Linked DNA regions of Daphnia pulex. The protein of the gene in region 2 purifies or fractionates together with the protein of the main gene of each other region. This does not show direct contact. Links are inferred from orthologs where the notes say so. Each region holds a gene or a part of one and is shown on either strand. Other genes may lie near its edges.

What was found.
Region 1: the proteins of coatomer subunit beta'-like (region 2) and coatomer subunit zeta-1-like fractionate together in Homo sapiens (co-fractionation; 6 studies listed by BioGRID and IntAct, with this or other methods). This does not show direct contact. The link is inferred for Daphnia pulex from reciprocal best matches to the Homo sapiens genes COPB2 and COPZ1.

Annotation. Positions count from the first base shown.
Region 1 is NC_060024.1:1,294,483-1,297,998, reverse strand, and holds coatomer subunit zeta-1-like, read left to right. Parts: upstream 1-1,311; 5' UTR 1,312-1,501; coding exon 1,502-1,693; intron 1,694-1,782; coding exon 1,783-2,028; intron 2,029-2,093; coding exon 2,094-2,227; intron 2,228-2,302; coding exon 2,303-2,393; intron 2,394-2,592; coding exon 2,593-2,640; 3' UTR 2,641-2,749; downstream 2,750-3,516. UniProt on the Homo sapiens protein: The coatomer is a cytosolic protein complex that binds to dilysine motifs and reversibly associates with Golgi non-clathrin-coated vesicles, which further mediate biosynthetic protein transport from the ER, via the Golgi up to the trans Golgi network.
Region 2 is NC_060017.1:7,292,014-7,296,462, reverse strand, and holds the start of coatomer subunit beta'-like, read right to left. Parts: upstream 2,826-4,449; 5' UTR 2,661-2,825; coding exon 2,658-2,660; intron 2,587-2,657; coding exon 2,428-2,586; intron 2,366-2,427; coding exon 2,288-2,365; intron 2,220-2,287; coding exon 2,105-2,219; intron 2,044-2,104; coding exon 1,895-2,043; intron 1,826-1,894; coding exon 1,569-1,825; intron 1,507-1,568; coding exon 1,174-1,506; intron 1,111-1,173; coding exon 911-1,110; intron 844-910; coding exon 602-843; intron 541-601; coding exon 398-540; intron 322-397; coding exon 1-321. Other genes in the region: uncharacterized protein LOC124197376, read left to right, coding at 3,778-3,852, 3,931-4,150, 4,213-4,449. UniProt on the Homo sapiens protein: The coatomer is a cytosolic protein complex that binds to dilysine motifs and reversibly associates with Golgi non-clathrin-coated vesicles, which further mediate biosynthetic protein transport from the ER, via the Golgi up to the trans Golgi network.

The DNA.
Region 1 (3,516 bases), on a different chromosome or scaffold from region 2:
CATGAGTATCTTTGCCATTATTTGATTATCATCAATAGCTATGTTGAGGCTCTTCAGACGGAATGCTATCTGTTCCAACTCAGTCAGGAAGCTTGATACACTTTGGCTTGGTCGAAATGTGCATCCATAGAACTTTGTCCACAATAGAGGTGCATTGTCTGCGGCATCTTCTTCATACTCAGTCTCCAATTTCATCCACATCTCTTGGGCTGTGCTACAAGACATCAGGATCCTTGATTGGTCTTCTTTGATGGCGCCAAATATGTTCTGCATTGCCGTGGTATTTCTCTTGTTCCAGTTGGTTATATCAGCTGCATTTTCAATCACCTGGTCAGCATTGCGTCTCTGATTGTGGTAACAAAACGAGAAGATGGTTAGGTTTGTGATATCCATGGCAGCCTCACATTATCTCAATGTGGAATCTCCCTCACATCATCTCGATGTGGAATACCTCTCACATTATCTCAATGTGGAATCTCCCTCACATCATCTCGATGTGGAATACCTCTCACATTATCTCAATGTGGAATCTCCCTCACATCATCTCGATGTGGAAAAACACTCAGCTGTCTCCTAGATGCTTGCAACTCTAGCACACACTTGTCCACCATCATATGATGGAATTTAGCCAGAGTGACCAAACAGATTGAGAAAGAAACACAAAAAAAGAGAAATGTCCAGCAAACACAAACACACAAAAAACAAAATCAAGTGGCAGAGATTAAGCACTCACGCCGGGATCTAAGTTTGTCAATTTAATAGTTGGTACCACGCCACAGATAGGCATCTCATATCGCGTTGTTGTCAGGCACGGATCACACACATAAAGAAAACAATAAATCATCAATAAACTTACTTCAGCAGGTTGCCGTTGAGTCCCGTTCACGACTTCCCAAAGCTCAACACTTTGTAACGCCAGCTTCATTCCAAATTTCCAAGACGCGTAGTTTTTCCCATTCAGACACCATACAACATGGCGGCGGCCATCTTTCTCCATCACTCCAGAAAAGAATTTCTAATTTCTTGGGAACAGTTAGCCGGGGACACACACAAAAAAAATAATTGTTCAGACAGAGTAGCTGTTAGCTGTGCGTACAGCTGGGCCCATAACCTGTTGATATAGAAATTAACACGTGAACCTGTTTGCTGCAAAGAACGCTTTGTATTGCTACTCGCCTAGCCACAATCGTCAACAGCACTGAGTCCCCCTCTCTTATTCCTTTGTCTGGGTAGGTCCTTCTCCCCCTCTCTTCTTTCCTGGCTATCCTGCGTTGCCGCACTGTCCAGTTTGTTTATCTTTTATACTCAACAAGCAGTTCCTAGATGGCGCTAACGACTGGCCCTTTTGCTTTTTCCCGTATCTTTTAAAACAAAAATAGATTTATCTCGTTAATGGTTTGTGATCAGTATAGGAAATTTATAAAATTTATAAGTTAATTTTTTTAATGGTTAATATAATTTTCTTACCGACATAAGAATCGTACTCTAGTTGAAGTACTCCATGGCGATACTACGCGAAAGAAACTGCCAACGTAGCATACAGGACTACCGGTTGTCAAGTAAGAACAACTCATCAACATCTCGAACGGAACATTTTCATTCACCCGTCTGTACAACGGTTCATCTTATTTCTCTTAGCTCTTGTGTTGTGGTGTATTGCATATTGTATAAAGAAATGGATAACCATGTCCTGGTAATATAGCTACTTCTAGTACTACATTTTCTTTAATCAGCTGTGTCAGACCAACAACAAAATGATACATTTTTATAAAATTTCTTTAGGAACCTTCTCTGTATGTAATTAAAGGAATTGCAATCCTTGACAATGATGGTAAACGTATTCTTGCAAAGTACTATGACCCAAACACATTACCCACTGCAAAAGAACAGAAGGTTTTTGAAAAAAACCTATTCAACAAAACACACCGAGCTAACACGGAAATCATTATGCTAGAAAACATGACTTGTGTCTACAAAAGCAATGTGGATCTTTATTTTTATGTCATGGGAAGTAGCCATGAAAATGAGGTAAAAGATGCTCACAAGTTGTTCACAAAATATTAGTAAATTGGAATTTTTTTCCCCTTATTTAGTTGATCTTGGTTAGTGTTTTAAACTGCTTGTATGATTCCATCAGCCAAATACTTAGAAAGAATGTGGAAAAGCGTTCTCTAATGGAAAATCTTGATGTGGTTATGCTTGCTTTGGATGAAATATGTGATTCTGGGTATGGTTTCCATTCAAACATGTAATCATGACAAGTTTATCAAGATACTATTACCAGTTTACTATTGTGTTGCAGGATTATTCTGGAATCAGATCCCACTGCTATATCATACAGAGTAGCTCTTCGGAATGATGACATTCCAATTGGGGAGCAGACAGTGGCCCAGGTATGTTTGATAACTTAACTACTTAATCAGATATTTAAATAAGGTTTTTTTCAATTTAATTAAATTTAAAATTGAAATTAGTTTGAAATTTTCATTTTCCAGCAGCTACTTCTAAACTAAACAATATACATTTTAAAAATTACTATAATTAAGGGAGAAGATCAATAAATTCTTTAATTATTTCCGTCTGATTTTTTAGGTGCTTCAATCGGCAAAGGAGCAGCTAAAATGGTCTCTTCTGAAATAAGGATCTAAACTATTTCAACCACAATAAATTCCGGTCGTTGAATCATCCTTATCATTATTTTTCTCCTTTTCCAAGTTGTTCTATAAAAAAAATACAAATCTGTTCTGTTGATGCCATCTTTATCAAAATAGCAGATAAATAATTAAAATCAATCCACCGTATTAGAAATTAAATTTTTTGTAACTTGTAACACGCATTATATAACCTGATGGTGTGCTTGGTATTTTACAGCGATCTTTAAAAGATTGTTTTCATTCATCAAAGAATAGTTTGCCTTTTTCTGACATTTACTTCGGGTTTACAAACGAATGAAAGCACAAAAGAAATTTGTTTCTATCACAACAGAGATGTGAATTTCCAATATTTTTCAGGTTGCACTGTAATTTAGGTGAAATGTTCTTGGTTTTAATTCGGATAGAACGTTATTCTCTTACAGTACAGCTTAAGTACAGCATTACACCAACTAAAGTTTGCCAGTTCATTTCGAAGTTATTGATAACGTCAATCTTTCGTCGATTAAAAGGTAAAAAAAAAAAAAAAAAAAAAAACGTTTCACTCGTCGTGTCTTTATAACGATATTGAATTCCAGGCTTGGACAGAGCGCATCAGTTTTTCGCTCCGTTGATCTATCAGCGATAAGCGGTGATTTAATCGACCCAATTGAAAAGGATCGGTAACGAATCGTTGTGTTTTTTTTTTTTTGTTTTTTTTTGGTCGAGTTCCAGAATTTTCTACCAACAACTTCGAAGTTCGACAATCCAAAATGATCCTTTAGCCTTGCGTTTCCCTTATCTTCGTTGAGTTTATAACATACAGCGCGATCATATTCAAATAGCCACAAAGAAAGGAAAAGGCGGTAAAATTCGACAAAAATAG
Region 2 (4,449 bases):
CTCTGAGCCTCGCAGGCTAGTTGGTAGGCCAGTTGCAATTGACCAAGCTGAAGTGACAGTTCGAAGCGATGCTCAGGATCAGCGGAGACTGCCAATGCCTGTTCTTTGAATCCCTGCTTCTCAAGAAAATGAGCCACTCGAGTGCGTTGCTCTTTGGGAACCGACGGGAGCACTCGGTCAGCTGTTTCGAAGTCTCGTCGCATAACTGCGGTTTGATATTCAAGCACCGAGAGTTGCAGGCCGTAGGAAACTACATTTAGCTCCTTGTCGCCCAAGTAAAGACTGTTGTCCTTGGGAATGTAGCCCAACAAGTACATCACTCTGGAAACAAAAGTTACACATGGGTTTAATAGTATCGGTTTGATTATTGCAAGAATGGTGAACTTTCAAGCCATACCTGTCGAGATGGGCCACTGTGACAATTTCCCCACCGACGTAATAATTTAATCGGTTGGCACTGTTGGTGTAGATAAAGCAATCGCCCACCCAAAGTCCCGTCTTAACACTTTCTTGCACTTCAGATAACATTTCGAACGCCGTCTAAACATTCAGAAAATATTTTTTAAAAATGTACTAACACTTTGTCTTTAAATAAAATCACCTCAATTCCGGCATCGTCGGTCAAGCCTTCTTTGGTTTCAAGGCTTTTGGCCACGGCATCAGCATCATAACGCAAAACAAAATAGCTGTCTTCGGTAGAAATGCAAACTAATTCACCATTTTCCGACCAATACACACCACGTGGCTGGATCTCAATCCGACGAATCAGTGTCAGATTGTCCCATTCGTAAAAAGCTAAGCTGTTGGTAGACCGGACCCCAAGCATTGCTCCACCAAAGATTCCTGTGAATGTAAAATTTTAATTAGAATCAATATTTCATTCTGTTTTCAATTACTATGCACAATATACCTTCGGCTCCCAGCTCTGGTTTGAATTGTTTCTTTTCCTTGAAGTTCTTAAAAACTTTGACCGACGTGGCACTTTCACGAACAGCATACTCGGATGAGTCCACTGCCCACACAAACTCCAAAGCTGAACCGAAAGCTTTGTTTCGCAGAGCCATAGCTGTATAGATGATGTACTCGCCGTCACCACAAACAACGACGAATCTATTATGAAACGGAATTTTATTATTTACTGGTTTCTATGCCATGAGCAGTTAGCAAACATACCTTCCGTTTGGATTGTGAGCGACAGTTTGAGGGTAAATCTCGCATGCACCCATATCCTTGATGGCAAGAGGAAGACGTTCTCCATCCTTGATCTCCGAGTCCGGCAGCGCTTTGAGATTGGCCTGCTGGATCTCTGAATGTTTGGCCCAGATAATTTTACCGCTTTGATCCATGGACATTGCAGGTTCCTCTCGGCCCAATTTAATCATGATAGATCCTTCATCGTAGCCCAAAGCGATGTTATTAGACCCAGGCAAACAACAAATGGTCCAGACACGCTCCAGCCCATAATTGAGAGTAGTCTCCAACCGGTAGGTATTTGAATGCCATACTCTACGATTTAGAGAAAATAGTATACTTGACTAAAAAATAAATAAAGAGAATAATAAATTTACCTGACTGTTCCATCTTCAGATCCAGTAAGCAGAATTGGAAGTTCGGGGTGGAAGGCAACAGAAGAAATATTCTGTGCATGCCCTTCCAAAGTTTGGACGCAGGTTTTATTCTGGTAATCCCAAATTTTAACAAGCCGATCATCTGCACCTGAAATTAAGTAAGGTTTGTCGCCGGCGTGGTAATAGTCGACGCAATTTACTCCTTTCTCGTGGCCTTCAAGAGTGAAATTCGGTGTGTTCGAGCCCAACTGCCAGACCTGAATGAGGGACCGTAATAAATTGATTTTAAGTTAAATTTCTGGCAAAATATTTTCGTAAAAACATACCTTGACTGTTCTATCAAGAGATGCAGTAGCAAATGTATTGTTATCTTTTGGATTGATGACAATCTGCATAACATAATGGGTGTGACCCTCAAAGACTTGTTGGCATGCCCAGTTCTTTTCCCAATTCCACAACTTAATTGACATATCATCTAAAATGAAGAAAGACTGTATGAACACTGAATCTGTTAGAAAAACAGATTATTTACATACCACTGCTAGTTAATAGAAAGGGTTGAGTGGGGTGCACAGCAATGCAACGAACATAGTCTGAATGAGCTTCAAATGCTGTCACACGATCAAGTGTGTTGTAGTTGAACACTCTGACCTGGAACAATTTAAAGAGGATTAAACTATATCTAATCTGAAATGGATAAGACATCAAGAAAACTATACCTGCATATCATCAGAACCACTAACAACCCAGTTTTTCCTTGGGACAAACTTGACAGCACGAACAGGCAGGTCACAAACCTACAAAAGGGCAAGTAATGGTCAAGTCATTAAGGAAGAATTCAATGAAGTACTCATTTTACCTCAAAAGATTTGATGATTTGTTGTGATTCATGGTTCCAAATATGCACATTTCCATTATACAAGGAGGCCAACATCCATGGCTCTGTTGGATGCAAGTCGACACTTTTCACGCGATCCGAACGGGCGGTAAGCCTTCTCTTGATATCTAGTTTCAGCGGCTATAAAAAATTATAACATGAAATTAGCTCAATAATTGTTATGATTTAAACAAGTAGTATTAATGTTAAACCATTTTGTTGTGAGGATTGTTGAATAGTTCTACTACGTGGCCGGTTGATCTGTCATCACTGGGGGAGGAGTGGAGCACAAATAAACATTGCCAGATAGAATCATTAGCCAAAATACTAAATTGCTTCTTTTCTATCAGCTTTTACTAATATTGTGTGACCTCGTCGGGAGTGTAATTTTCAAAACTATTATGAGCTATTTATTCTATACATTTTAAGCGTACCCTGTAATAATTCAAAATTTGTTAAACTATTTCGACAGTGGCAACATCACATCAGTTCAAAACAAACTGCCCCGCACAATTTATCAATGGAGACAGCCACGATCATTATTCGAGTCATCCGGTCGTTTGAATATCGAAACATTCGCAATGTGGTTTTAAAGAATGTACCACTTTCCCTTACAACTGAAGAGTTGAAAACTAGAATAATTCAAGAGTTGGGTGTTGCTCCGGGACTGCCACCACCTTTTCGAAAATACGAATATGACACTTTGAAGGTTATTTGAATAACATCTTACTGCTATTTTTATGTATTTGTTGTTTTTTCTATGGTTTTCTACAGATTGAGCACCATGCACATGGAGCTAAAACAAATGATCCTGTCATTAACCACGAGAATGATGAAGGTCTCATCCTTAAAGCGGAAAGGACACTCAAGGAGAGTGATGTAAGACATGAAACTGAAATTTCATTCTTCAAATATGATGATTACATGTCATACAAAAAAAATCCAGTTTTAAAGATTGGATCAAGATAATGAATTAACTGCTGAAAATTTTTGCAATTCATTTTTCTTGATTGCCTGAAACAAGCAATCCTCAGGGAATTACTTGGGGTCTTTTGATTCTTATTTTTAATTTTGATGATACAATTGTGAATAATACACCACATTTTTCCTTCATCCATATATTCTGGAATAATATGTTTCAAATTTTCAATCATCACCTAATTGTCAGATAAACACTGTTGCAAAAGTTATAGCAGACGAAATTAAGTTGCAAAGGTGAATTCAAAACTCGAAAGCGTCGGATGCTATGTTCTTGTTGGTGTTAAGAGAGTGGCCTACTTGTTGAAATAATGGATCAATAATTTCGAAACTATGAAATGACAATCCAACACGATGGACAGATTGAAAAAATGCTGGGAAGGAATTTTACAAGAAAGAGATAATTTTTGGAGTTCCTTCTTCACTAAGGTATTTTAATGTCAAATTCTCTTCAAAGAGCTATGCAGACCTGATTCTAACTCTTGCGATTTATACATACTACTCTAGTACCAAGAAGACAAAAAAGACGTGGATTTTCGATCTTATTTGGATAATAGTTCGACAAGGATTAATACTGTGCTGGAACTAGCAGCTGAAGAGAATAAAGAGTCTGCTGGGGCTTCGAAAGGCTCGGTTAAAAAAGTGATACAGCACTTTGAAGAACAGTCTAGTGAGTCATCAGAAACATATTCTAATGAAGTGGCTACTTCATTGAATGAAAACCAAGGTAAGATAACATTTTAAGAGTACAAAACAAAATTTAATATTGTGCCATATTATTATTCACAGAACAAGAAAACTTAAAATCTGATGAGCCTTCAGTAATATCAGTGAAGAAAACTGTGCCTACATTAGTTGTGAAAGCTATTCCAGCAAAGCAAAAAATTGATGCTCAATATTTGTTAACAAAGAACTCACCTAATTCAGTCAACAAATTAATTTCCGAGTCTTCAAAGAGCTCAGATTCTACAGTGTTACAGTACTTTAAAGAACAATCTAGTGAGTCATCAGAAATATATTCTAATG